2 linked regions of the Tribolium castaneum genome follow. The protein of the gene in region 1 purifies or fractionates together with the protein of each later gene. This does not show direct contact. Links are inferred from orthologs where the notes say so. Each region holds a gene or a part of one and is shown in the gene's direction. Other genes may lie near its edges. The genes, in order: transcription initiation factor TFIID subunit 10 and Tbp.

The links.
Region 2: the proteins of transcription initiation factor TFIID subunit 10 (region 1) and Tbp purify together in Drosophila melanogaster (affinity purification with western blotting; 3 studies listed by BioGRID). This does not show direct contact. The link is inferred for Tribolium castaneum from reciprocal best matches to the Drosophila melanogaster genes Taf10 and Tbp.

The regions. Positions count from the first base shown.
Region 1 is NC_087398.1:382,837-385,813, forward strand, and holds transcription initiation factor TFIID subunit 10, read left to right. Parts: upstream 1-1,420; 5' UTR 1,421-1,460; intron 1,461-1,561; 5' UTR 1,562-1,745; coding exon 1,746-1,850; intron 1,851-1,898; coding exon 1,899-2,078; intron 2,079-2,123; coding exon 2,124-2,231; 3' UTR 2,232-2,284; downstream 2,285-2,977. Other genes in the region: Sh3beta (SH3 domain-binding glutamic acid-rich protein homolog), read right to left, coding at 1-98, 712-915, 1,006-1,050. UniProt on the Drosophila melanogaster protein: TFIID is a multimeric protein complex that plays a central role in mediating promoter responses to various activators and repressors.
Region 2 is NC_087402.1:9,986,778-9,990,996, forward strand, and holds Tbp (uncharacterized protein Tbp), read left to right. Parts: upstream 1-1,356; 5' UTR 1,357-1,448; coding exon 1,449-1,494; intron 1,495-1,538; coding exon 1,539-1,765; intron 1,766-1,814; coding exon 1,815-1,957; intron 1,958-2,003; coding exon 2,004-2,523; 3' UTR 2,524-3,017; intron 3,018-3,064; 3' UTR 3,065-3,570; downstream 3,571-4,219. Other genes in the region: Tbcc (tubulin-specific chaperone C), read left to right, coding at 1-260; Bka (rRNA-processing protein FCF1 homolog), read right to left, coding at 286-894, 944-946. UniProt on the Drosophila melanogaster protein: General transcription factor that functions at the core of the DNA-binding multiprotein factor TFIID.

The DNA.
Region 1 (2,977 bases):
GCATTTGTTGTTACAGAGGGTTCAGAATCGTTCGGTGCTAGTTTTAGAAATTTTTCCATCTCGTCCACTTCGTTTGCCATATCGAATTGGTCATAGTCCTAAAAAATGTTAACAGGACTTGTTAAAATGTACGTATGATGAGCGAATTTAGCTGATGTCATTCTAAATAAACATAAACATAGTAAATATTTGTTTGGAACATATGGTCTCTAACAGCTTTCATCTATTAGAATTAATCATGCAACATGAAAGTTTCATAATCGTGAACAGATAGATACAAGTCATTAATTATAATTTTTTATCAAGTTGGCTTCAAATAAGCAAATGGAACTGAGGTTACTTGATGGAAGGCATCATTATAATCAACTTATTATAATAACGATTATAAAGTCCAATTATTTCTTTTTACAGTGGCTTCTTGAATTTTCTTAGTATGGAAATGACGAATAATAAATATTAAAATGTTAATTAATCGAAATTTAACGATGTAATTCTAAATCAAACAAGGCTTAAAACATATTTGTGTTGGAATCGATGACGTAATCCGTTTAAAAGTAAACCAAAACAGAGGATAAAAATACAAATAAAAAAACTGAAATGAGACAAAGCAATTAATGGACTTCTTCCAATCTATTTTGAGTGCACGTTGATATGCACAAATGGTGTTGTGATAATGCTGATATGGCGAAAATCAATAAAAAATGCTCTTACCCCACAATAGACATCGTCGTTGAATATCTGTGGAGGTAGTGGATGCCTTGGATTAGGGTCACTGATTGTTGCCCCTGAAGACGTGGAATTGTTCTGCATGAAATCCTTTTTCTCCTCATTTTCGGGTTCGGCAATATCTATAACTTCATAATTGATATTTTTTGAATCTAAAATCAGAAGGACCCTTTGCTGTCTTTTCTTCACCTGTCAAAAGAACAGGTGTATTTTTATAAATTAACCAACAACGGACTGGGAAGAATTTACGGAACTTGGGGTTATTAGAACTGCACTTACCTCTTTATTGCCGGAAATGCCGCTAATGTAAACTTTGACTACCATTATTACTCAGTTTATATTGTAAAAATTGTAAATTTTCTCTAAACCTATTTGACAGCTTCTTTGGCAGTGTGGCGCCACACCTATTTTGGTACAGCAGGTTGATTGTCGATTGTTGTCATTAAGGGTCAGCCGAGAAACGAACCAATTCAAAAACTGGAGGCTAATTTTAGAATGCACTAACAAATTATTTGCAATTTATTTGTTGCTAAATTCTGTTATAACGGGCTGGTGAGAAACTAACGGCAGAAAAACTCATAAACCCAACGGTGAGTCATGTGCACTCACGCAAAATTTGTCACGACTTTTTAATAAACTGAAGGACTTTTATTGCAATTCTTGACGAAATTAAATCCAGGAATTCGTAAATTGTCAAGCAAAAAATACAACTAAACCTACAATCAACAAATTAGGTCATTTGAAAAAAGTGTAGATTTATATTTGTAAATGCAAGAAAAGCTTGTTACAATCAGTGAATAATGAACGAATAACAAATAAATAATTAAAATTTCAGGTAAAAAGTCAGGCAACTCAATATACGAATATCACAAAGACAATTTCGGTCTGTAGATTAAAGTAAGAGTTAAGAGTAGATCTGTTGTACAAAAAACTTGAGCTACTTGTCACAATTGTCAATCGTTGAAAATTGACAAAAATAAAAATTCATTTCAAACATTTTGTGTAATTTTTTTGACGACATGGCCGAGGCAAGCGATAAAATGATTGTGGACGATAATGAGCCTGCAACATTCGGTCAACCGTTGAGCAATTTTCTGCTCCAACTGGAAGACTACACCCCGACAGTAAGTCGCAAAATATTCCGTTTCACAAATCTTAGTTTTAATTACTAGATACCGGACGCTGTAACAGCCCATTTTTTACGAACTTCTGGATGTGAGGCAAAAGACCCGAGATTAATTCGACTGATTTCAATCGCTGCTCAAAAATTCATATCAGATATTGCGAATGATGCTCTCCAACATTGCAAAATGCGGTCTAGTAACTCGTCCAACAGTCATGGGGGCTCAAAGGTTTGGATATGTAGTGTGATAATCACATCTAACTTTTTTTTCTAGGGATCTAAAGGTTCCAAGGATAAGCGTTATTGTTTAACTATGGAGGATTTAACACCGGCTTTGGCCGAGTTTGGGATTACCATTAAAAAGCCACATTATTACGTGTAGTGTATTAGTTTATTTTTCTTGTATTCTTTCCAATAAAATTATTTAAAGTACAAGTGGTCTGAAACCTCCCAAATGTTAAGATCTTGCAACACTGGGATTGCTTTTGAGACATAATCACCACAATTCCGCTCAAAATTTTTAAAACACCTGTCCTCGTTTTTACATGAACATTTAATTTCCGAGTTCTTGGGTGACAATAAATTGGTTTTGTTCTCTCTGACGCAAGTTGAGTCTTTAATCGTCCGCAAATCATCAACACTAGGAGTCATAAATAACCCCAAATTTGGGTAAATAACAAAGGCAAAAATTGCCAACACTGTGAGGAGAAAAATAGGGATGGCAACAGCCCAGTATCTCTGAGGCAAACAAGTGATACCGACATACTTAAACCACTCTTCCGGAAGTACAGCCCAGGCTAAATACAAAATGAAAAAAGTCTTAAAACTGAGGAACATAGCAAAGCCGTAAACAGCCCTACTCGGAGTAGGGGCAGGTGTGTGTTCAGGCATTTTAAAAATGACTATAAGTGGAGCTAACAGGGTCACCAGCGAATTCAATAGTTTCACTCATCAGATTTAAATTATCGAAAAAACTAGAAACGGCGACGCGTAACTGGCGTGCTAATTGGGCACTAAATTTTCTATAAAGAAATAATCAATTTTTTCCCACGCCAAAACAAGGTCTTACACATGCAAAATATTTTTATGGTAAGTTATTTCCTTGGTCACTCCACTCCTTTTGGGCTC
Region 2 (4,219 bases), on another chromosome or scaffold:
TGCATTCTTCGAGTGATGTCGATATTTATTTGCATGTAACAAGTAGAGCAATTATGGAAGATTGTCACGATATATTTCTAGCACCGTATAACTGGGACTATGATAATCTCGAGTCTGATTTTAAAAATTCAGGGTTGGATCGAAACACAAATAATTGGAAATGTGTTGATGATTTCAACTGGTTGAATGTTGAAAGACAATCTCCAAATTGGTCGTTGTTAGATGAAGGGAAACTTGTAAAAAATTGGGATAATTCATAACGTAGTAATAAAAATTCGTAGTTTATTATGTTTTTGGAGCCCCGTAAGCATCAGGCATGCGTTCAATTGTATACCTATGTTGTGCAACATACATGATGGGAACACCCGGAATTTTCCGAATTCTGCGTTTCAAATCCTTATCATTCGTCGCAACAATGTAACACTTGTGTTGGGTGACCCTCTGGACTAGGCAATCATCAGCGTACGTCCCTTTATGCATGCACTTAATCCTCTCAAACCTCGGATCCTTTATTATCCTCAACGCCACTTTATACTTCTGACCTAATTTCTCTAATTCGCCCAAAACACAATCCGTAATATACGGAATACACTTAGCATACAAGCAGTCCATCATATTCTGAATAATATCCAACTTGTTCTTGATCGAAAAATTAATAAAGTTCGTATCAACCAAAATGTGATATGGAGGCCCCAGTTGGGTGTTGTATTGGAAAAAGAGCGCCGAACTAACTTGGGGCACCTCACGCACTTTCATTTCGTGTGGATCTTCGGGTTTTTTCTTGCGAGGAGGGGCCCTCTGGCTGGCTTTTATGCGAGGGTCGCTGGGACTGATCATTGTTTTCATTTTTGCAAACCGCTTCTGGGCGATTTTTCGCGTCTTCTTCGCCTTACCCTAAAAAACATTTCTATACGCTGTGCAAACACCAAAGCGAACTTTTTACCATCTTTTATTTTAAAATAAACACATGTAGAAAAAGTCAGGTTAAATATGCGTTGCCAACATTACAACACTAAATAAACAATCAGGGAGAGGTGAATAAATTAAATCCAAAATAATTGTTTGTGTGAAAAAACTGTTCCACTGACTCGAAATTTTTAAAAGGCGACATTGTGAGCGTGAGCCGTGAGTGTTATTTTTAAATTTATGATGCGAATTTGAGTGAGGTTAAGGCGGGCGTTGCCAACATTCTGGTTGATTTGTCCCCAAAAATTATGCTAGGAGAATAATTTATTAATTTGCTTCCAAATCCGTTTTTCCAGTGAAAAACAGTATTTTCGTGACGAAAACTCTGAAAGAGAACAATCAAGGAATGTTATTTTGTGTTTGTATGGTCTGAGTTCAAGTTTTTAAAAATTATAACCGTTTATGCTAAATGTTGACTATGATTTTATTGTTCAGTTAATTAGTTCGTTAATTAAAAAAGTGTAAAGACAACAAGTACCAAAATGGATCAAATGTTGCCAAGCCCCGGTTTCAGCATTCCTAGCATAGGTAAGTCTCGATTTTTCCTTCACACTTCCTTAGTGAGGCTTTAGGAACCCCCTTGCACCAGCCCGAGGAAGATCAGATGATTTTGCCCAATGCTCTGCAGCAACAACAGCAGCAGCAACCTTCCACAACATCACAGTCCCAACAAGTCCCGCCTTTGGCCCCAATGGGAGCCCTAACACCAACTCTGGGGTTGGGCATGGGCATGTCCATGCCCCATACGAAATATGCGGGCTTCGCCCTCCCCATCACGAGTATCCAGTCACAAACACCAGTACGTAACTAAATTATTGAATAATTGGAACGTTTAATTAAAATTTTAGCAACACACTATGATGTCCCCTATGGTGAATTTGGGGGGCTCAAGTGGTGCAGCGAACACCCCGTCGATGGGCCCCGCGACGCCGTCGCCCCTGACACCGATGACCCCGCATTCGGCCGACCCCAACATTGTCCCCCAATTACAGTAACAGTCCAAACTTTAGTAAAATTAGTTTGAATATTTTTTGCAGAAATATTGTCTCCACAGTTAACCTCAGCTGCAAGTTAGACTTGAAAAAAATCGCCCTTCACGCACGTAACGCTGAGTACAACCCCAAACGTTTCGCTGCAGTTATAATGAGAATCAGGGAGCCCCGAACTACTGCTCTTATTTTCTCTTCGGGAAAAATGGTCTGCACGGGGGCTAAAAGCGAGGACGACTCCAGACTAGCAGCGAGGAAATATGCGAGAATTATCCAAAAGCTGGGCTTCCCCGCGAAATTTTTAGACTTCAAGATTCAAAATATGGTGGGAAGTTGCGACGTTAAATTTCCGATCAGATTGGAAGGACTTGTCCTCACGCACAGTTCCTTCAGTTCGTATGAACCCGAGTTATTCCCCGGTTTAATTTACAGAATGGTTAAGCCCAGAATTGTACTACTTATTTTTGTCTCGGGTAAAGTTGTCTTGACTGGCGCCAAAATCAGGCAGGAGATTTACGAAGCCTTTGATAATATTTATCCAATCCTGAAAAGCTTCAAAAAGCAATAATTGCTTCATGTGCTACGTTTAATTGTTGACTGTAAGTGGGCCTTTTATATTGTTAATAGACGAGAATCAAAAATTGCTTTTATTTTTCCTTTTGACAAGTCCAATCTAACCTCAAAATTAGTTTTTTTACATTATTAATACATTATGCTGCACTAGAATACAATCAATCGAAAGGGAATGGAAAATTCCGCTCAGTACTTAAGTTCAAAACTGATAAGTAAATAATTAATTAAAGTTGATTATGGTTTACGAAAATTCAAATTTTTGCCACATAACCTCAAATTTTTTGCCAAAAAGAAAAAACTCGCTCGTTTTTGTCTTAAATGAAGAACAATAAACTCTAAAAAAGTGGAAGAATATCAGAAGACGGTACAAATTCCACGCCTTGTAAATACTGGAACTGATAAAAAGCGATGTCAAATTCCAACATGTTCAAGTAATTATTTTAATCTCTACAGTTCGGCGTAAAATAACAACAATGCCCATTTTACCAGGTGAGGCCACACGCCAATAATTGCGTTACTAATCGTAATTTTATCAGATAAAGTGCGAAATTTGGTGAAGAATGTTAGAAGTATGTTCCTAAAATGGTCAGTGCAAAGACCGATTTTGTCCATGTCTTTGGTGGTGATTTTGGCCGTTATCCTGCTCCCCGTGGTCACAGCAGCCACCCTAATGCCCGTTGCGCTATTGCTCACTTACACGGGAATTTTGGCGTCACAGGGAATTTTTTACATAACTTACAACATATTTATCCAAGGAATGCTACTAGCTATGGTAATTGTAGCCTTATTCGTTGTTGGTTTTACAATTGCAACAAGCGCGAGTGTTTTCCATTCATATACAATATTTAAAACGGTTACCATAAAGAAAAAGCAATAAATTTAAGTTTTTATTCGTTTTTATGTGCCATTTTTTCCATTAATGCCCATAATTTTCGTACTACTTGTTCCTCGCCTATTTCACCATAATTGAAGACTTCATAGTTTGGAGGGTTCGTCCGTACCATATCTGTTAGTTTATAAGGAATAAAGTTGTTAAAATGAACGGCTTGGTTTTTTTTTTAGAAAGGATACAGCCTGTGTTAGGTCTTGTATAATCAAATTGTGTTGCAGTTAATAACTTATACAAATATAAGGAGAGCCTGAAATAAATTCATTAGAGACCAACGTAAGAGTCATTTAAATTTCATACTTTAGGCTCTTAAGATTTTGCAGCTTATGATTATAAGTTTCGCACCGTTTTGTTGTTTCCCGGAGTTTATTTTTCTTTGCACCAAATTCGGTAGTTAAATTTGAAAGTTCCTCTTCCAGTTTATTCTATTTTTTTTACAAAGTTATCGTACAAGTAAAATTATTTTTTATACTTACGATTTCAGACTTTTCTTTTTCCAAAAGTTGAGCATTGTTATCCACGATTTCAAAGGCCCTTTCTACTTTACAATCAATCAAAGATTTAACGTTTGCACATATATTAAACAAATACCCTTCTAAAAAGACATAACAGAGTACAAAAATAGATTTAAAAAGATTGCACGTACCTTCTTCCACATGAGGTGTTAACTCATCGAGTGGGTGCAAAGATTCGGTAAAGCGATCGAGTTGTTCACTGCAAGATTGACTAATGGCTTTTATTATCGCCTCAAATTCTACAAGCTCCATTTTTTTGATTAAAACTAATATCAATTAATATTTTT